3 separate regions of the Mus musculus genome follow, and regions 2 and 3 are each reported to be linked to region 1. The links are microRNA targets in miRTarBase. Many come from high-throughput screens and were not tested one by one. Region 1 holds a microRNA gene; each other region holds the end of a gene's coding sequence.

Evidence for each region. Region 1 holds the annotated microRNA mmu-miR-139-5p (UCUACAGUGCACGUGUCUCCAG, at 4,704-4,725, opposite strand). A microRNA usually pairs through its seed, bases 2 to 8, with sites in the 3' UTR of a target mRNA and lowers its output. Matches are read on the target gene's strand: a 7mer-m8 pairs with bases 2 to 8, a 7mer-A1 pairs with bases 2 to 7 and ends in A, and an 8mer does both.
Region 2: miRTarBase lists Iba57 as a target of mmu-miR-139-5p. Seed matches in the 3' UTR shown: 7mer-A1 at 4,829-4,835.
Region 3: the mRNA of Tex9 is a reported target of mmu-miR-139-5p. Seed matches in the 3' UTR shown: 7mer-A1 at 3,324-3,330.

Annotation. Positions count from the first base shown.
Region 1 is chr7:101,473,107-101,480,106 of GRCm38, reverse strand. Mir139 (microRNA 139) reads right to left here and starts at 4,731; the gene lies at 4,664-4,731. The region is part of intron 1 of Pde2a (phosphodiesterase 2A, cGMP-stimulated); the gene reads right to left.
Region 2 is chr11:59,152,125-59,159,286 of GRCm38, forward strand. It overlaps Iba57 (IBA57 homolog, iron-sulfur cluster assembly), which reads right to left. Exons shown (of 3, transcript NM_173785.6): 2 at 6,714-7,054; 3 at 3,245-6,535. The coding sequence ends at 6,141. Among named protein-coding and RNA genes, the nearest start is that of Iba57, 8.0 kb to the right of the region's middle.
Region 3 is chr9:72,455,418-72,462,579 of GRCm38, reverse strand. Tex9 (testis expressed gene 9) reads left to right here. Exons shown (of 12, transcript NM_009359.4): 11 at 590-724; 12 at 1,302-4,525. The coding sequence ends at 1,379. Mns1 (meiosis-specific nuclear structural protein 1) reads right to left here. Exons shown (of 10, transcript NM_008613.3): 9 at 5,677-5,802; 10 at 4,004-4,267. The coding sequence ends at 4,187. Among named protein-coding and RNA genes, the nearest start is that of Mns1, 20 kb to the right of the region's middle.

The DNA.
Region 1 (7,000 bases):
TCTGCGTGAAGCCTGGGGTTTGTCCAGGTGTCAGCTCCAAATGCCACTGCCAAGTCTCCTTGGCTACAGACACACACACACACACACACACACACACACACACACACACGTGCTGTTTTCCCAGTGGGAGGGAGAATCGCAGGCATTGCCTTCCCTGCCCTGCCCAGACCTTGCTTTGGTCTCTCCCACCTGTCAGGGTGTACTGCATCTTGGTCATGGTTGATATCTATCCACTGTGGACCCTGGAAGCAGTTGATTCCAGACAACACAATCCCTAAGTTTGCCTGCTTGCAACCCTCAGGCATCAGTGCTGCCTTTACATAGAGCCCCATATCCTTGAAGACACCCAGTATGATGTCAAACCCTTCTAGGTTCTCATGGCAACAGCTACTTTCTCATGTAGCAGACCAGAGACCCCCACATCAGCACTGTCACAGGCTTCTATGTGCTTCCAAGCCTAAGGCTAAAGACCACAGAGGGAAGATTCCATACCCAGAAAATCCCCCCCCACATTTTTTTCTTGACCCACACTCTCTAGAATGGAGCTTCAAGGACAAGGCCCCAAGTCTTGGTGTCCATGGAGTTCTATTCCTGTCTCAAGGCAGGAGGATTGCCAAGAGGGACCCAGAGAGCGTCTGACTTTGGTGACATCTGCCATGGGTGTGCTTAGGGAAATGGGAATGGCAGCCACTGCAATGCAGGAAGCCTTCCATGCAAGAGAAATTTCTGAAGCCACAGGCTGCAGTAGCTGTCTCCCCATTTGAGGGATGAAGAAACTGAGGCTCAAAGAAAAACAATGGCCCATCTGTGGTGGGCCAGAGATTACCCAAACCTCCTTATCTGAGCATATACAGCACCCAACTCCCATCTCCCACCCCAAAGGCTTAGAGAAGTCAGTGTGTCCTTTGTTCTGATTGGCCAGCTCCCCAACCTGCCCTTTGCTTTGATTGGTGGATGCCTTGAGCTGCCCTTTACTCCATTTGGTTGCTACTTGTCTGGCCTTTGTTCTGATTGATCAGTTTGCTGTGCCTTTTTAGGCCAAGGGCAAGAAAATGGCGGTGGTGGTGATGGTGGTAGAGGGAATGAGGTAAGATAGCTTGGGGAGAGTTGGGGCACCAGCAAGGAGGGGTTCTCCATCCTTGCCCGGGTAAGTAGGATGCAGACTAGTAGAGTTGAGGCTCCGGGCTTGGCAGCCATCTCTCCATCTGCTTTGGAGTCTGACCTGCTCAAGAATGAGGTGTTAGCTGTGGGAACGATTGAAGGAAACAGGCCACTCAGAGGGGCCTGTACAGCTCGCTGAAATGCCAATTGCACAAATGAACACCCACCTCTCACCCCACCACAAGGGTCTGAGAGTAACTTAACCTCCACTACACCAGCTGGGGGAGGGGAGTTACATTCGAATCCTGCCTGGGCACAGGACAGAACTGCAGCCTTGGGGGAGGGAGCAGCTGTGAAGAGGAAATGGGGCAATTTCTGAAATGGAGGCACAGTAGGGAGCCAGCCTCAAACAGTCCTAGCACCCCAGGACTCTCAAGGGAGGGAAAAACAGCCATTTTTACCCACTTGTTTGTCTGTCCTCCCTCGCCCCCTCCCAACCATGTGCCACATAGGCAGGCTGTCAAGTGTACACCTTAGCTCACACCTCCATGTAGATGGCTCATATAGGCACAGACAGAGAAATGCAGTCATACGTCCAATGAGTACAGTCAGGACTAGTATTTAGGAGTATGCAGGCAGACACACACACACACACACACACACACACACACACACACACACGGGGGTGGGGGAACATAGCACGTGTGCACATACACAAGAGTCCTTGCTCATTGTGGGTGGAGGCTGTCACATTTCCTGTCCTTGCAGCTTTTGTGAACAAACACCAGAGTAAATATCAAAATATCAGCATAACAACCAGGCAATTTCCCAGACCCCAGGGGAGAACCTGTGGCGTATAGACAAGAGCAATGATTTCCAGCCCTGTCCCAGATTGACGACAGAAGCTCCATGTGGCCTTGAACACACCCCTTTCTCTTCTGAACCTTGTTTTCCTCCTGAATGTAAAAGAGTCTTTCCACTCTGCGACACCTCTAGTTCTGTGGTTTTATGGACTAATTTGATGAGGGTGACTGGGTAGGTGGATGGAGGGATGCATGGAATGGGTGGGTGGGTAGATGAGTGAGTAATTAGGAAAATAGGTGGGTGGGTAGATGGGTGCATGACTGGATGGATGGATGGATGGATGGATGGATGGATGGATGGATGGGTTGATGGATGAGTAGATAGGCAAGTGGGTAGAAAATGAGTAGATAGAAGACTGAAAAAATGGGAAGATGGTGGGTATGTGAACAGATGAGCAGATGAGAAAAATCAATGGATAGATGGATGATTAGAGCAGTTAGATGGCAGATAGGTGGGTAGATAGGTAGGGAAAAGGGAAATGGGTGGGTGGGTGGACAAATGGGTAAAGAGATAGGAAATGGAGGGGAGGCAGGTGGGTAGGTGGGTGGGTGGGTGGGTAGGAAAATAGGTGGAGGGTCAGTGGTAGTCTGTGGACAGTAGGTGGAAGAATGGACAGAGTTCTTTTGCTCTCTGCAGCTCCCTTACCTGCGGCTCTCTACCTGCTGCTGTGGGCTGAGACTGCCATCAGCACCGCAGACAGCGCCATTCCTGTGTGCTGGTCTTTCTCCCTAGATACCATGAAAGGGGACAATGCTGTTGGAACCAGGGTTTCTCTGAAACCTGGGCGGTTGCCAGTTTTCTGAAACCTGGGCCTGAATCAGCATTTGTGTGTTCGACTGGGGAGAGCAGAGGGCCCAGATTGAATTGCTTCTAACTCCTTCCTAAGATCATATGAAACCAGAAATTTTGGTCTTCTCTCCTTTGGGGCCATCCTTAGGGACAGATGGCCTTGAGTAAGGGGTCACTGACAGAAGATGCTGTCTTATTCTGCATCTATAACCCTCCATGACTTTCCTAACTCACAAACCTGCCATCTGCTCGCCCTGCTGCTGGCACCTGGACTCCCTACAAGAAAGTAATAACATGGGACTCCAGAGTAAGAACCAAACTGTACCCTGGAACCATTTCTGCCGATCCATCTTGCTCTGTGTCTCCTCCTGGCCTGAGGTTAGGGGCTGACCTCACAGACTGGAATCTGATATCTTCCTCCAAAGGGAGATTCCCTGGGAGCTCCTCTGCCTGTCTGCTTTTTTCCATCCCTCTGGGTCAGGCTCTTCTGGTCCCTCCGAGTGCTTCTCTGCCTCTCCCCATCATACCCTAGGCGATGTCCATCTGTCACACACTGCTCTCCTGTCTTGCCATGTCATTTCCACCTCCACATCCTGGCTCTCTCTCCGGGAAGGCTTCTCTGCCCACCCTCCTTCTCTTTCCTGCATATCCCCACCCCAATCACTCCTGTCTCTCCTGCCCACTCCTCCCCCAGATCTCCAAGAAATCATCCTGAGAACATGGGGGGAGAACATCAACAGACAGAATGCAGCCATGAATAGAGGTGCCAGAAAGTGGTCACGGTAGGGAAAACCAGGAGCCTGGAGCAGATGCCACCTGCCCCCCTCTCTGTCTCCATCCTCTTGTTCTGGAGAGCAATGCACACATTTCCTAATCTTTCCTGGAGAATGGGGAGTGCATCTATCTCCATGCCCAGGGCACACCTCCATTAGCCAGAGCTAGGTTACTTAGTATAACTATTTAAGAGGACTCCTTGAAACTCAGAATAGGAAAGTCCCTAGCCCAAGCCCAAGTCCAGAAGCCCAGTTTTCCTCTCTGGCTCTTCACAGCTGCCCAGACACAAGGCAGAAAACAGAGGAAGCAGGAGAAGGTGGCTCCTTTCCCTCCCCACCGCCCACGCCTGCCACCTGCCCAAAGAGCTGTTTCTAACAGACCTGTCACCTGAAAATATTACAAGAGCTGCTTGTGTGTGCTAACACTTGCATCCACGACTTCCCAGTAGCAAGGCTGAGCTGGGCCAGAAGCAAAAGGAAAGGAAAGAGACTAGGTGATGTTGGGCAACCCAGATGCCAAGTGAGCCACCTCATAAGCCCTGAGTGACTCTGGCTATGGGGAAGGGAAGGTACCTTTCTCAGGTACTGATTGTGGTTGCAGATGTCCCTCAGTGGTTTCCAAAGTACGGCATGGCCCAGAGTCACCTGGAGGACTGTTGAAATACACAGTGCTGTCCCCACCCCAGAATTTCTGCATCAGCTGGTCTGGGAAGAGGTTGATGAATTTGCACTACCAACTCCCCAATTTCTAGCTGCTGCTGGCCTGAGACGTGCCTTTCACTCACCCCACTTTAGAGGCACAGGGGTGTAAAGACCGGGATGTAGGGAAGGTAGATCCTTTCTCCAGTGAGGGTAGCCATGGGGACAGCTGGATGCTACCCCCACATGAAGAGACTCCACAAGAAAGATCCCCAAGGAGAGGAGGCATAAGGGTGAGAAAGGAGAAAAGGAGCTGTGGCCATCGTTGAGTTGGTGACACAGGGGCACGTGGAAGGAGCCACCTGCAGCTCAAGAGCCAAGTACTACAGGAAGGGGCCCCCTTGTCCTCCTTTTCTCTCTCCCCCACCCCCTTTCTTTTGCCCACCATGCCCTCTTCCCCCTTAGCCCACCACCCTTCGAAGACTCTGGCTTCAGTTGTTACTCCAACAGGGCCGCGTCTCCAGCCTCCGAGCCACACTGGAGACACGTGCACTGTAGAATACACCTGCGCCTGTCCTGGCGCCTCCCAGGGGAACCTCCACTCCCTGAGGGGGACCCTTGGGACAACTGTTGGCTTCTCTCATCCCTTACCATAGCTGGTCCCCCCCTGGACCTCCCACTCCTCCCCAACCAGGCTGAACTTCTACCCCAGGCACTCCCACTGTACTGACCCCTTTAAAGCCATCCAGGGCCAAGTGTGGTGATAGAGAGTGGGAAGGAGGAGAAGCAGCCAGGTGGGAAGGCAGGGGTTGTTAGTCCTCTCAGACTGACAGTCTACTCTCCAGTCTAGAAGGGAAAGATTAGGGAAATGGAAAGAGGAGGGAGACAAGAGCCCAGTATCGGGAGGAGGTGATGGCCCTGGCCTGGAAGCTTTAAGATGAGTTGAGTTGGGTCAGACTTTGACTTCTCCTCACCCTACCCATCTTCAGTTGCCTCCTCCACACAGTAGGACCACTCTGTCCCCATAGCCCTCAGGTTTCTAACCAGTAAGGCCCAGCTCCCATACATGTCACCATAGTCTCCTCACAATTCCCGTCATCTTGGTTTCCTGTGGTCTCTAACCTTCCTGCCTCTGTGACCATGAGAGTTGAATTGAATACAGTGGGACAGTCACTGGGGACTGTGGTGAGTATCTGTGACTCAGAGCTGTGTCTGGGGAGATGTTTTGGCATCAAGGAAGCTTGGGTACACTGTTCCCCAGGGTGTACAAGAAAGAAGAGACTCTGGGAATCAATACCCCGAGAAAGGGTCTCGGTGAACTGGCTGGCCTCCTGCTCCGGTTTCTATGAGCCTGAATGTCTACGACCCCACCTCTCATGTGGCCTTGGAGATAGGACCAGAGCTTGACCCAGCAAGCCTAGAAGCCTCTGCAAGTCAGACATAATGGTCCACTCAGGAGAAAGGAATGTCGAGTGACTAGCTGGACCAGTGTCAGGAAGGGAAGTATGCCAAAGGAAAAGATATGGTCAGACAAGAGTGGGTGGGTGAGAGAGCCAGTGATGGTCTGCTCACTCGGACCCTCACAACTTGATGGATGCTCCTTCCCGGTGCTGTGTGTCATCACCTTGCCACACTGCCCTCTCTGGCTCCCCCATCAGGCCAGGAGCTTTTGGGGGAAAGGACAGCATCCTGATTGTCCCATAGCTCTTCTGCTCTTAGCATCATCTAGTCTCCAATGAGAGCCCAGAAATGGTGGAGGCCAGCGACCTCCTGAGCAGAGAAGTGGAGTTCCTGGAGGTCCCAGGTGGGGAGACAATGGCGGTCTCTGTATCCCAAGTCTGGCGTGATGAGAGACGTAGACAAACAGCCCACGGAATGAGAGGATGCTTTTCCCTGAGAACTTTTGACAGCATTTTCAAGGTATCTGGCAAGCCAGGAGACCTTCTGCTCTTCAGGATCATCTCCAAGTGGGAAAAGCCTAGGGTCCCAGGAAGAGCAGGTGAGCAGCACCTCTTATTCAAGGACGTCATCTACATGGGGAACACCTGTCTCCACCCCAGTCCTCCTGGGAATTCCTATGAGACCAACGTCTTTAGACCTCAGGTGTCATGACATTGGATGCCCAGTTTGGTATGGGGTGTATGGAAGGTCAGAGGAGACAAAAAAAAAAAAAAATAGCCAGGTTCTCCCCTAAAGGCATGGGGCGAGGCCCTCTCTCCTGTGGCTTTGGACTTCTCAAGTCCTGCTTTGGCCAAGGGATAGACTTGTCATCTCTCCAATGTTGGAATGGGACTGGGTGTCTCTCTCTAGGCCTGGGTGGAGCCTCTTGTCTCCCGCTCTTCCATTGTCCCCTTCCCTCCTGTGCCCACAATAGATAATAAATGCTAAATGGCACTGACTTGACACAGGGCGATGTATGGCTTACAGAAGGGCAGGAAGGGAGGGCTGACCAGGGGTGCTGGGCAGAGAACTAAGTGTCCCATGGTACCTGCCTGGTGGTTGGTCCTGAGTGTCCCCAGCCCTCCCAGTACCTCCCCAGGGACCTCTGTGTCTGCTTGTCTTGGTGTGTCTCTTTGGTGTATGTCGATTCCACAGCCTCATGTTGCTTCCTCCTCTGACTGTATTTGGCTCCATCCTCACAACTTGGCTCGTCCCAACTGTTCCCCAAATCCCAGGAGAATGGGAGTATGAGACATACAGGGACAGAGACCAATTCAGAAACAAGGAAACACGTGAGAGTCAGAAGGGGATAGGAGACAGGACTGTCGAGGCCAGGACCAGCCGGGGAAGACCCCCAACATACAAGGAAACCCTTTAAGGAAACCTAGGGAGGA
Region 2 (7,162 bases), not on the chromosome of region 1:
TTCATGGCAGTATTATTCATAACAGGAAAAAAAAAAAAAGCTGAGGAGGTGGCTCAGTGGGTAAAAGCAATTGCTGCCAAGTCGGACAATCTGAGTTTGAACCCCGGGACTCACATTAAAAAGAAAGAATCAATTCCTAAAAGTTATCCTCTACATCCATGTGTGTGTCATGGTACTTTCTTAGACAAATATTCTCTGCAATTTCAAAAATGTGCAACATGGAACCCTTTGACTTTCCTCGCACCTTGAAGAACACCAGCTCCATGCTCATGAGGACTAGACTGTCACCACCCTAATAACATCTTGAAGTGACTGTCTGAGCAGGCCAAGACCACAAAGCCCCTGGATCAGGTCTAGCTGGGGGGTTATGGTGGAGATTTGGAGCCATAGCCACAAAGGACCAGACACGCAGCTCATCACATACTGCTTGGAGACTGAGGATTCTAAGCTCAGGGTTCACTGTGAGCTACACCCACGCTGCGCCCATGGCTCTCTGTCCTGTTCTGTGTGCTGACCTGCCTGTCTATGGTCAGGCTGGCTGCTGACAGGGCCACATCAGAAGCTCAGGAGTGTTTGTCTAGCATGCAGAAAGCACCTCAAAAACCGGGTGCAGTGGTGCACACCTGTCACCCAGCACTGAGGAGAGGATTCTGGAGTTTCAGACATTCAAGGTCATCTTCAGCTATATAGTGACTTCAAGGCCAGTACTAGACAAGTAAGACCCTGGTTTGTTGTTGTTGTTGTTTGCTTGCTTGCTTGCTTGCTTGCTTGCTTGCTTGCTTGATTGATTGATTGATTGATTGATTGATTGACTGATTTTTAAGGCAAGCAATAGAGTTGGAGAGATGGCTCAGCAGTTAAGAGCACTGACTGCTTTTCCAGCGGTCCTAAGTTCAAATCCCAGCAACCACATGGTGGCTCACAACCATCTGTAATGAGATCTGATGCCCTCTTCTGGTGCTGTCTGAAGACAGCTAGTGTACTTAATTATAACAATAAACAAATCTTTGGGCCAGAATGAGCAGGGACTAAGCGAGCAGGGTTGACAGAAGCAAGCAGAGTTTCTAAAATTCAATTCCCAACAACCACATGAAGACTCACGACCATCTGTACAGTTACAGTGTACCCACAAACATACATACATACATACATACATACATACATACATACATACATACATACATACATACATACACCTTTACGGCAAGCAATAAAGACGAGAAGGAAAGGAACAGAGCCCCTTCTGGAAGGGGCTGACTGCTCTTCCAGAAGTCTTGAGTTCAAATCCCAGCAACCACAAAGTGGCTCACAACCATCTGTAATGAGATCTACTGCCCTCTTCTGGTGTGTCTGAAGACAGCTACAGTGTACTCATAATAAATAAATAAATAAATAAATAAATAAATAAATAAATAAATAAATCTTTAAAAAAAAAAAAAACCTAGTCTAGGATAAGGAGACCCTCCTGACTCCCAGAACCCACTTCCAACAAACTCCGCTAGCCCGTGACAATTTACCAATATAATTTAGATTACACCCTGACCGTGCTCTCCCTCCTGTGCTTCCGGAACTATTTAAGTCACCGTATGCTGTCTGTATTACACTGAGTTCCTGTCCCTTATCCTAGCTCACACTCTCCTGTCTTCTCCGCACTCCAGCACAATCTTTTTTTTTTAAAGATTTATTTATTTAATGTACGTAAGTATATTTTATGTATGTGAGTACACTGTAGCTGTCTTCAGACACAACAGAAGAGGGCATCATATCCCTTTACAGATGGTTGTGAGCCATCATGTGGTTGGTTGCTGGGAATTGAACTCAGGACTTCTGGAAGAACAGTCAGTACTCTTACCCGCTGAGCCATCTCTCCCACCCCAGGACAATCATTCTTGAGGCTCAGTGATTCCCAGCTCCGAATTCTCCAGAAAACACATCCCACAGACTTCCTTCTGGGGGAGCATTTTTTCCAGTCAAGGTCTACATAGCCCTTGTGCTGGCCTTGAATCCTCATCCCCCTGCCTGTCCCATGTGCCAGAGTCACGGGCATGTGCTTGGCACGTCTTTCCCACTTTCACCTTAGAACTTGTCGTTTTACAATTGTGCTTGATCTGTTTAGCAGCCTCCCCTCACCCTCACCCCCACCCCTTCTCAAACCTAACTTTTAACCCAGCAGCCAGTCAGTCACCAGGCCTTTCAGAGCTCAGTGTGTGACAGCTGAAGCATTGTATACGCTGTTCGATGATCAACTCAAGGTGGTTGGGTGACGCCATCACACAGTTGTCATTCCTGTGTGATGAGGACATGCGGCACGCTCCTCCAGCTATTTTGAATGATGTGACTAGTGTCACTGTCTGCTCACTGTACCCTTCCACATACTAGAAGAGAATGTTTGCCCCAGCTGCTGTGACCTTGTGCCTGTTAACCCATCTCTCTCCTCCCTCCCGCCTCAGCTAATCACTAGTCCCTCTCCCGCTTACTCAAATATAAATCCTTTACCTAATATATTCCACATATATCTTATATGATGTGCCCTGTTACTCTGTCTTAAAATGTGTGGGCCTGTCTTTCTGCTGCTGGCCCGTTCTCATAGGATTCAGGTGAGCACGTGTGGAGTGTCCCCAGTATACTGTGAGGTTCTGTCTGGCACATGAAACTCCCCTGGCAAGGACGAGCCTGCTCTCCCCAGGCTAGTCTGCTCCTAGTGTTGCTGGCTTTAGCTCAGAGCCTGCCCCCACCCCTTTGATAAGCAGACTTCAACCTCTTCCTGGCAAGCCAGGTGCCCAGTGATCGGGAGTCACCCCTACAGCTTGGGCCCACCAACATCACCTAAATCACCTGTGCCCCTCACTCTGACCCCGGCAGAGGCAAATTTTACCGTTTCCTCCTGCCTTCTGGCCTCATAGGTTCTAGGGGCCTTTCCCAAGGTCACTCCTGACCTACCACCTCAACAGAGACCAAGACAGGTCGTGGTGTTAAAGGCTTTGAGACCCTGTATCCTAGAAAAGCATTCCCTAAAACCTGGTTTAGAGGTAGGTTTTTTGTTTTGTTTTGTTTTGTTTTGTTTTGTTTTTTCGAGACAGGGTTTCTCTGTGTAGCCTTGGCTGTCCCGGAACTCACTTTGTAGACCAGGCTGGCCTCGAACTCAGAAATCCGCCTGCCTCTGCTTTCCGAGTGCTGAGATTAAAGGCGTGCGCCACCACGCCCGGCACTAGAGGTAGTTTTAAAAAACAAACAACTCCAGAATAAGATCTACACCCTTTCCCCCCTTGATTGGTTTATTTTTCAAAGCTTTGTACTGTTTACAAAACACACTGAAAAACAGTTAGGGGTTTTCAAGTGTCCACACTGGGGTCTATACAGATCCCTGTGAGAATGTGAATACCAACACATGCCTGCATCACTAAGAATGGCCCTGAGGTCCCTGAAGATCAGCCCAGTGCCCACTGGCTCCACTCACTGGCGATTTTAATGTGCGGTGCTGCCTTTCTAAACTGTGGAGACACATCATGGCAACTGTGGATCTGTTCAAGCCCCCAACACTGGAAGAGCCCAACAGCAGGCAATGGGTGACTCACAAAGCGGGTCTTCTGCCCAAAGCAGCATCCTGCCTCTTTTCGGACTTGTCCTTTCCTTACCCAACGGGCCTGCCTTGGACCTTTCTGCCTTCCTTCTGAAGGCTAGAATGTATGTGAAGCAGGCCCAGAAGCACCAACCTCTGTGTGGGCACGCCCCCATCAGGTTTGAGAGGGCAAAAGCCAGTCACATGACTGCAACCCTAAAGTAAGCTGCCTGGAACCCTTAGAGGTTCCTCTGTCAATCTAAAAGGCTGCCAGGTGGGGTTGGCAGGAGCCCATCAGTCACAGCCTTCCAGAGCACAGCTGGAACCCCAACATCCAACGCAACCGCAGTATTGCTCCTGAGTGGGCAGGCAGGCAGAGGCAAAACAGCCACGGAGACAAGGCTGTCATAGGCCAGGCCAGGCAACCATCCAAGCAGGACAGCTGGGTCTGTCCGCCATGCTAGGACCTGCACAGCCTATGTGTGTGCTTCAAGTATTGTGCTTTGGTTGTGAACCGTCCTCCATGAACTCACCTTTGACCTCACTGTGGTCCCCAGCAGCTGGTGCTGCTTGGAAGGCAGTGGAACCTGTGGAATGTGAAGTCTGTCCTTCTGCTTGAAGGATGTACCTGCCTTTAGATGCCCTTTCTCTGCTTCCTGGTGCCTTACCATGTGAGGGGCTCAGCCACACTCCCACTGCCATGAACCCCCTGAAATCGCCAGCCAGGGTAATCCATCCTTCAGGTTGTCTCTGCCAGGTCCCTGTCCCCAGCACTGTCTACCCACTCAGTACCATAGAGAGGAGGTCACTCAAGGTGCCTTCTTCTTGCTGAAGAAGGAGGGCACTCCCAACCCCCCGTGCCTCCTTCTAAGCTGCGGCAAACTGCACCTCAATTCAGAGAGCACCTTGAGCCCTAGCCTAAGCAGCCTCCAAAGTCACAGTTCTTAGAAGTCCTCACTGCCCCTGGCACCAGAGTGACTGCCAGGCTGCCCACACCCCAGGCCTCTGTGGATTTACCTTGGGGGCACTGTAGAAAACAGTTTCAGAGATGTCCCCATCCCCCCACCCCAGAACCCTGAGCACCCATTGCCTTGCCTAGGCTCACAGCGGCCTCCCCACTTCCTGCCAACCTAGTATGGACCAGTTCAGTAGAACTCTGCTGAAATAAACCTATTGGATCTAGCCAGGCATAGTGGTGACACTTGCCTTTAACCTCAGTGCTTGGAAGGCAGAGGCAGGCAGACCTATGTGAGTTCGAGGCCAGCCTGTTCTACAGAGTGAGTTCCAGGATAGCCAGGGCTACACAGAAAAATCCTGCCTCAAATAAACAAAGAAACAAACAAACAAACAACAAAGAATACTGCTGCTCTTGCAGGGGATACAAGTTCAGTTCCCATCACACGCATGTTCAGCAACTCAGAGTCACCTGTAACTCCAACTCCAGGGTATGTGATACCCTCCTTTTGTCCTCTCTAGGCACCCAGACATTCATCCATAAACACACACATAAAGACATAAAAACAAAATACATCTCTTGAGAGAGACATAGGTGTATCGTGTGAGCCCACTGGGGCTTGCCTATCAATCTAACACTCACAAAGCTGAGGCAGGAGAATTTCAAGTTCAAGACCAACCAGGGCTATAACAGTGGGCTGCTTCCATCTGGTGGGTGGTCTCTGGGGACAGCTGTCCCACGGTCTGTCCTACCAAACCTGACCCAAATGAAACAAGAGGTCTGAAAGGGCTGTTCTCAGACCACACTTTACTAGTCCTTGGGCTTTGTGGCGAGACCCTCAGTTCACATTACAAAGGTTAGAAAAAGTGGTTCAGAGGGAGGTATGCACCCCACCAGTGGCCAGCAAGTAACTCCCTTCTAAAAGCCCAAGCCAGCAAAAACGTTAGCCGAGCAGAAGCCCTCCCCTCCCCCCCAGATGGACCTGAGCCCTGGGCTCCACCCCTCCTAGAGCTTCCAGGGGAACATGAAAAGACAGCAGCTCACTTTGAGGCGTGAAAAGAGCTCTTGGGACAGTAGGCATGTAGTCCCTGTGGCTCACAGAACACATCTCTCAACCCAGGGGATCCAACCTCCCGACCCTGCACACAACCTATACAATCTCTGCCCTGAGATGAGTTTCAAGAGAACACGAAGCCAGGCCCAGCAACTCTGCAGGCACACAGAGTCCCTTCCTCCAAGGGGAAACAAGGTCAGGGACCTGGCGTCTGACACAGGCCTATGTCAACATAGGCCTGTAGACCTGGCATATGGACTGTCTCAAATCTTGTTCAGAAGCTGGTCCAAATGGGAGCTCAGACCCTTCTCTCTCCCAGCCTCAGGTGGTCACTCTGCTCTCAGTCAGACTTCTCGAGAGAAGACAGCCCATAAGAGTAGGCTCTCTGTAGGAAGCATGAGCCGATCTGTAGCCTGGAACCCATGGAACTTTCCTAGAGGATGTGCTCCAGAAGGCACCACGGGAGGAGGAACTCATACCCAACAGGCGCAGCACAGAGAGTAGACAACCTTGGGCAGAGGCTCAAAGGCATCTGGAAACTCTAAGGCCAGTGGGGCTCCAGAGCATCCAAGCTACTTGGCAGCTGTGGGCCACCAGTCCGGCACCACGGCAGTCACAGCCACCAACTGGCTCTCGGAGGTCTTGATGTGGAGAGGACCCTTGATTGTCTCTGACCGCAGCAAAGCCAGTCCCACGTGTCCCTGGCCAGCCCTGAACTTGCCCGCTGCCTGGCCTGTGGCAGTCACCGTCACTATGGCGCCAGGGCTGACGCCACTTGCAGGCAGGGGGCCTTCAAGCTTCACTGGGAAGAGGCGCTTGCGGATGACACCTGTATGGTGGGTCCGGGCCGTCAGCTCCTGCCCAATGTAGCAGCCCTTCGTGAAGCTCACGCCATTCATGAAGACCAGGTTGGACTCCAGGGGGAGGGCCATCCCTGGGGGAAGATCACAGACTCCCTCGGGGATGCCTGTGGGATTCAAAAACCAAGAGAATGAGCATAGCCGTGTCCAGAGAGAAGAACAGGCCTGCAGTTTATAAAGCCCAGCCCTGCAGGCCAACTCTACCAACCCCTCTGCCCATTCTGGAGTCCACCTGCCCCCATGAACCTCCCAACCCCAGCCTGGCATAGCTGTCCCTACTCATACCTTGCTGGTACCGGTACTTGTGATAATCTTGGAGATCCCCAAGCTGTCCCCTGGGCACCAGGGCTGGGCCATCATCCTGGGTGAGAAGCCGCCACCCCATACGTGCAGTCCGGGGGTCACGGATAAGCATGGTGGTGCCTTCTACCCTCTCTTCTAGAGGTGCAGTCTCAGAGGTTTGGGGGACACAGGGTAGCACAGCCCACACGTGGAGCTCCGGACTTGGCTCCACGGTGACCTTCCGCCGGATCTTGTACATGGAGAGGTGCTTCTGTAGGGCGCCCAGCACGGAGCTGTCACACTCCAGGAGAAAGCTTGGTGCCCCCTCCGTACACTCTGGGAGTCTGCAGGAGATAGGCATGGCTTAGAGCCGGCAGGAGTTCCTACCCACTGCCAGCTTACCAAGCTTGTGAAGAACAAAACACAGAGAGAAAAGTTCCGCGGGCCACATG
Region 3 (7,162 bases), not on the chromosome of region 1:
GTGTGGAATCTTAGCTCCTTCTGCTGTCTTACTCCTTTTGTGAAACCTTCTCTTCAGTACGGCAAACACAGAACCTTCCTGGACCTAGTAACTTCTACTGTTCCATCTTTTCTGAGAGTTCAGATTTGGTGTCCTTGTTATTGCTGCGGATGAGTTCTCTGACCAGCTCTGTAGAATAAGTCTTTCACAGGCTTCTGAGACTCTCACTCCAGACATAATACTTCTGTCTGCCAGTGCTTTAAAGAAAGTGTGTGGGTAAAATGTGGGGCTCGTTCTTGGATCTCCAACTCGATGCAGTATCTCACAGTCCTGTTCTCTGTCTCGAGCCCAGCAGGACCACTGTAAACCTGTACAGTGGAAAGTCTTGCTAGGAATGATAGTGGAATATGTGGCTCTTACCTCAAACGACCATACCATGTGCAAATTCTGCTACTGAAAAGTCTTATGTTCTGTCAAGTTTAGGTTTATAGATTTTTTTAGAATTGAAAGTTAATTTTAAAAATATTTTTAAAGAGCTGACTGAAATTATTTAGTAATATAAAGAACAATGTTATATTTCAACTAAAATTTTTTTTATTTGCTTTCATAGGATATTACAAATGAAGACCATCAAAAAATTGAAGTGTTGAAATCAGAAAACAAAAAACTAGAAAGACAAAAAGGAGAATTAATGATAGGGTTCAAGAAGCAGTTGAAATTGATTGACATTTTGAAAAGGCAGAAGGTGAGTCTAACAATAGACGCTGTATCTCAGATACACTACAGACAGACCGTTCTGCCAAAAAGTTTGTTTTTACTTTGCTTATAATCTTACACATAAAATTGTATCTAAAGATGCACTGTATACGTGTGAAGTCACATCTGTGTAATACATAGTGAGGTTCACTGGTTTAAAACACACGCACGCACGCACGCACGCGCACACATACACAGATATGTTTGTATATATATTCCCTCCCAACTACAGAAAGTACCATTCATGAGAATGACTAATTTTAGTGGATTAATTTCCTCTTCAAACTTTGAGCAGTAATTCTAAAACACATTGTATCTTTCTTGAAACATGAAAAAAGACAATTCACAGCCCTCTCTCGTTACAAAGATCAGGTATAATGATATCAAATTATTCTTTTAACAGTAGCTTGGTCTTCATGTAATATCAATTTAAAGTGTTACACTTGCATGGTTAGTATGTATAATCCAACAATAGCTTATTTTTTTGATAGCATATTAACACAAACAAATTTTCTTTTGTTGTGTGTCCATCTCTAAATTGAACAATATATATTTTTTAAAAACAGATGCATATTGAAGCTGCCAAGATGCTGTCTTTCAGCGAGGAGGAGTTTATGAAGGCTCTTGAGTGGGGCAGTTCATGAGTGAGCAACTGCAATGGGATGCTCATTTGATATCAAGTGTAGTCTTCTTGCTGTTCATGAGTAATAAGAACATTTGTGAAATAAAAGAGTTAGATAATGACCTGGTGAAATAAACAGAATGTTTGGGAGGATGTTGGAAGACAAAGCCAGACGGCAACTCTGGCCTGACTTCCTTTTTCATTAGTAGTTATGAAATAAGGAAGCAAGACTTCGACTCTTAATTATCTTTTATGACCTACTAGACCTGGGAGAGGACAGAGAAGATGGCAGGGCAAGATTCTGGAGATCCCCAGCTGCAGCTGCTGAGTCTGCTGCAGGCCTGTGTGCTGTGCACGGCTGCTGCATCCAACAGCAGTGATGCAGGCTGGGACCAGAGGCTGTTGTGCAGGGGCTATGTGTGTGTTCTCTTGTTCAGTGGTTGTGCACACAGGAGACAAAATAGAGATGGAAACAGGGACACACTTACTGTACCAAAGGATCATAAGTATAAGTGATTATGAACAATTTGGATAACACAGAATGTTTAATTTCTGGAGATATACTACCAAGAATTAACTAAGATAGAAAAACCTGGACACACCCATAGTAAGAAGGGAGATCAAGTAGATCAAATCCATAATAAAAAGCTCTATTGGGAGCTGGTGTGATGGCACAGTGGTTACGGAGGGCATTGCTGCTATTGCAGAGGACCCAAATTCAGTTCCCAGCACCCACAGGGCTGCTCACAGCCACCTTTAACTCCAGCTCTAGGGGTTCAAGGCCCTTTTCTGGCCTCCATTGACCTCTGCACAAACGGGATACATAGACATGCACTCAGGGATACACATAAAATAAAAATAAATATTTAAAAAAATAAATCTCCTCAAAGAAAAACACAGGACCTGACGGCTTCACTGCCAGCTTCTACCAAACATTTAAAGATTGGCAGTTCTTCTCAAACTATTCCAAAACAGTGACATAAAGACATTTCCACATTCAAGTATGCTCATCCTGATACCGAAATCATGCAAGAGCAACAAACAAAACCAAGCCAACAACTCCCATAGTCCAGTATCTCTGATCAACTCAGATGCAGAAATGCTCCCCAGAACACCAGCAAACAACTTCTATACATCAAAAGATCCCTCATCACGATGCAGTGGGATTCAACCTAGATGATTTGACATTCAAATCAGTAAGCATGTCACACTGACAGAATGAAGAAAAGGTTTGTAAATTCAGTAGAGAGAAAAGCCCAAGACTGAGCAACACTTCATGACAAAACTGTCAGCAAAGTAGGTTACAGAAGGAATGTGCTGTAACGTGAGTCATATGTGACAAACCCACAGCCAACACACTGAACAGGGAAAAGCTGAAGCTTAGCCCCACGTATTTGTGTATCCAATCCTTTTATATTGTGACATGATATTGTGATCTTCAGAGTTCATACTGAAAGACTATGCAACAGAATTACAAATTAAAAAAATGAATTTTGTATAACATTTTAAGTTTGCTATTTGTAGTGGTCTGCATTAATCACATCCCAGGTTGCCCATCCCTATAAGACCTGAAATCAGACAGTTAAGAGCAATGGCTAGGCAGAGAGCACACGCCTTTAATCCCAGCACTCAGGAGGTAGAAGCAGGAAGATTTCTGTGAGTTCGAGGTTAGCCTGGACAGCCAGGCCCACACAGTGAAACTCTGTTTCCACCCTCTCCAAAACCTCCCCAAAAGAGCACTAGTTGCTCTTGCAGAGAACCCAGGTTTGGTTCCCACCGTGCGTATGGTCCCAGTCATCTGTAACTCCAGTTCCAGAGGCTAGGACACCGTCTTGAGGCATTCTTGAGCTCTGCAGACATCTAGTACACATATATGCAGGCAAGCACATGTAAAATTTTTTTTTTTTTTTTTTGGTTTTTCGAGACAGGGTTTCTCTGTGTAGCCCTGGCTGTCCTGGAACTCGCTCTGTAGACCAGGCTGGCCTCGAACTCAGAAATCCGCCTGCCTCTGCCTCCTGAGTGCGCCACCACGCCCGGCTCGTAAAATATTTTTTTAATCTTAGCAGAAATGCTAATCAAATATAACCAGCAAGAGAAAGAAAAATATGAAGTCTGGGAACAAAGAAGTTGGGTTGTCCATTATGAAAAATGGTTGAGATCAAATCAACTGAGTAAAGTTACAAGGTAAGAAAACCAATAGGCACACATCAGGAGACTGACAGCACAAATGAAAGCCTTGAGCTGTAGCTCAGTGGCAGAGCACTTACAGAACATGTATGAGACCCCAGATCCAGTCCCTAGCATAGCACAAGCCAAAGTAGTGGCATTTTTATACATCAGTGGCAGAATATCAGAGAAAATCTACAGTACCCCATTTGTAGTATCTAACAAAAACATTTTAGACTAAATTTTACCAAGGAGATTGAAGATGGCTGTATTGAAAACTACAAAATATTGATGACAGAAACTTGAGAGAAGTAAATAGCTGTTTAATGTTTATGAATTAGAAAAGTGTCTTACATACTGCCCAGAGAGGTCTGTCGTCTCCCTGTAGTGAGCTGCTGTGTTTGGCCTCTGGTTCTGTGGAATTCTGTGATATGATGGCATCATAGAATGCATAGTAAATAAAAATGACTAATTCTGCAGTTAAAGTACTAATGTGTTTAATTTTTGTCAAACTGTATACATGATGAAATAGGAGGATGTTTTAGAACATGCAGATAGACCAGGGCCTACTGTCACCAACTGTAAAACAGCAGTTACGCTGACATCTAGTGGCAGCATCTGAGCACTCCAGGTCTCGCCCGGCCTTGCTATGAAGACTCGGCTTCAGACTCCATCCCTTTTCTGATAGGCCTTCCTGAACTCTTCACCAAGCATGTCAACATCGTCTTCTCTTTTAAACACTCCCTACAAAGAAGCATTTTGTTGGTTACTTTGAACATTAGAGTATTTCACTGAATTTTCTTAGGACTAACACACACAGACATGAAGCTAATGAAGAAATGCAGATAATGAGATCGATTATTGAAACTTAATTTTAAAATATCAGAAAGACTATGGCTTCAAGTATATCTGAATATCACTGAGCTGCTCCCAGTTCCTGATTACTCAACCTCAGAGTATTAAGCTGTGCTAGGGGCTGCTGTGCCTTATGCTCTAACTCCGGCCGTGACTGCCTACATTACAGGCTACTGTCCGGACGCACTCTTTCTGCCTCAGTCTATCAGCGGCTCATTCTGAGACACTGAATTTTACTCTTAACGGGTCCCGGCTGCCCTCCAGAAGTATTTTCTCCACTCAGATGTTGAAGTCCAAAGGCCCTCTCAGCATATATATAGTCTGTTTTATTAAATATACCAATCATGGGTGAATTTTGGCATCAGGCTATCATGCGTATTTAAATCTACCTAACTAATTAGACTTTAATACACTACGGCTAGCAACTTTTAATAATTTTCCTTTTTCTTTCATTGGTTAGGGACTGAACACACTTGATTCTGCATAGTCAATAAAGACTTCAAGCAATATGACTCATATATTTGAAGGACTGTGGCTTTATGAATCTCCATGTTTATATGGATAAGGAAGCTAATTATTAGCAGTCACAATGTGTCTCAAATACTATACATGAAAATTCATTGCCTATTGGAATAGCTCTCAATAGTTGAGGCTGCCTAGTACCTACTTACAATCAGTTTCCCACAGAGCAGACTCGGCTCAGACTCATGTCTAGCATGTGTTCACCCATGACAAGGCTTCATGTCTCTCATTATCTTCATGTTTACCCTTTTATAGTTGCTCTAGGGTAGTTTGTTTCAGATTTCCCATGCAACAAGCAGATGAAGAGCCTCAAAAGTGTTAGCTCAGGGGCTGGGGATATAGGTCACTACATAGAGCACTTGCCTAGCAAGGCTCTAGGTTAGATCCCCAGCCCCACAGAAGCTTGGCAAAGTAACACAAGCCTGCAGGAGGAGAAGCAGGAGGACCACAAGTTCAAGGTCATCCTCTGTTTCATAGGGAGTTCCAGGCCAGCCTGGGCTACACCTTGTCTCAAAAAGTAAATAAATGAATAAATAAATAAATGAATAAATACTCAATCTTGATAACTCTAGCTCAGATCACTAGTAATGCTCCAGGACAAGCTCTTGCTATCGAGGCATTTAAAAAGGACGATAGGTATCAACTCTGCCTGGGTCCCAGTGCTTCACCAACAAACAACAGCATGAAGTTACTCCCTCTGACTCTAGAATCACGCTTCAGCGCCGTTGTTTTCTCCAGTAGGACGAGGCTCACACACTAAGGTCAGTGTCACTTACTTTGGGGAGATAGCCTAGTAACTTTGCAGCATGTTCTTTGAGGAGTCTCAGCCTCTCTTCTTCAATAATCTCATTGATGCAGCCCTGCCGCCTTTGCTGTAGTTGCAATTCCTCCAGCTCACGTTGCTGCAAACAAAATCAAAATGTTTTAACTGTCACACAATACATTCATCTCTTATGAAGTTTACAAATAAAGCTAGATGATAAGACTGGTGTGTTAATTATAAGATTAGAAGATAATTATGTATATCTTTATTTTTTAAAGATTTATTTATTATACATATGTGAGTACACTGCTGCCCTCTTCAGACACACCAGAAGAAGGCATCAGATCTCATTCCAGATGGTTGTGAGCCATCGTGTGGTTGCTGGGAATTGAATTCAGGGTCTTAGGAAGAGTAGTCAGTGCTCTTAACTGCTGAGCCATCTTTCCAGCCCATAGTGTATGTCTTTTAATACAGGTAAATATATATACCTGTATTTTTATCATCATTATCTCTCTAAACTTTCAAGAACAAGTTATATCCCACCCGTATTTTTGTTTTCTTTATTTGTGGTGCTGGTGTTTGAACCCAGGGCCCTGCACCTGCACCTGCTAGGCAAGTACTCTACCACTGAGCTGCAATCCCAGCCCTATGACAGGAAGTTTAAAGGACACATTTTTTTTTTAGGAAAATCTTCAATCTCAAGAAAAAATGTATTCAAATGAGTGATTTCCTAACTAATTCAGCAAATATTTATGCAGTTTCCACCATATACCCCGTTCCCAAGATACCCCAAACAGTTTATAGTGTAAGACAAAAATAAAATCCTAATGCATAAAACAAAACACAGTTATCTGAAGATACGTTTTTTTAAATGCATCGTTAAAGGTCTAAGTGGAGCACACTGCAGAGGTCAGAGTCCCAGCAAAGAAGCTATGGTACCTTTCTGGAGAATACTGAATTCTGTGGGAACTCTGAGCTATGGAATGCCGATGTGATGTCATGTACATAACATTAGGGCCCAGAGAACTTTACCCAAGCCACACTCCTGAGTAGGATCTGCAGAAGTGGGAACGGAATCAGGTAAGACCTCTACCACGGAACAGCAACCCAGCCCCACACACTGATTTAATGAGATGACGTAACCTATCTAATCTTGGCATAACACAGGGTTTTCCTTCATATGCTGTGCTACCCCACACTACATGTTTACCCCCACTTCACATAATTCTACTCTAAGGCAGGTCGATCGGTTTAGAAAGGTGTGGGACAAAGCCTGAATAAACTGGTAGTAAAGTCTTTTTAGGAATTTGTTTAAACCATACACATTCTTAGAGGTGAACAGGATTATAGACAGCTACTTAGGCCTCTAAAATAGAAATGGGCAGTTTAGTGCTTTTAAGGCTACGTAATGCTAAGAATTAGTAAGTTCTGTTAAGGCATCCACATTTGCTCCCGGGCAAAGCAAGACTTGTCTTACACAACACTGACATCCAAGCCAG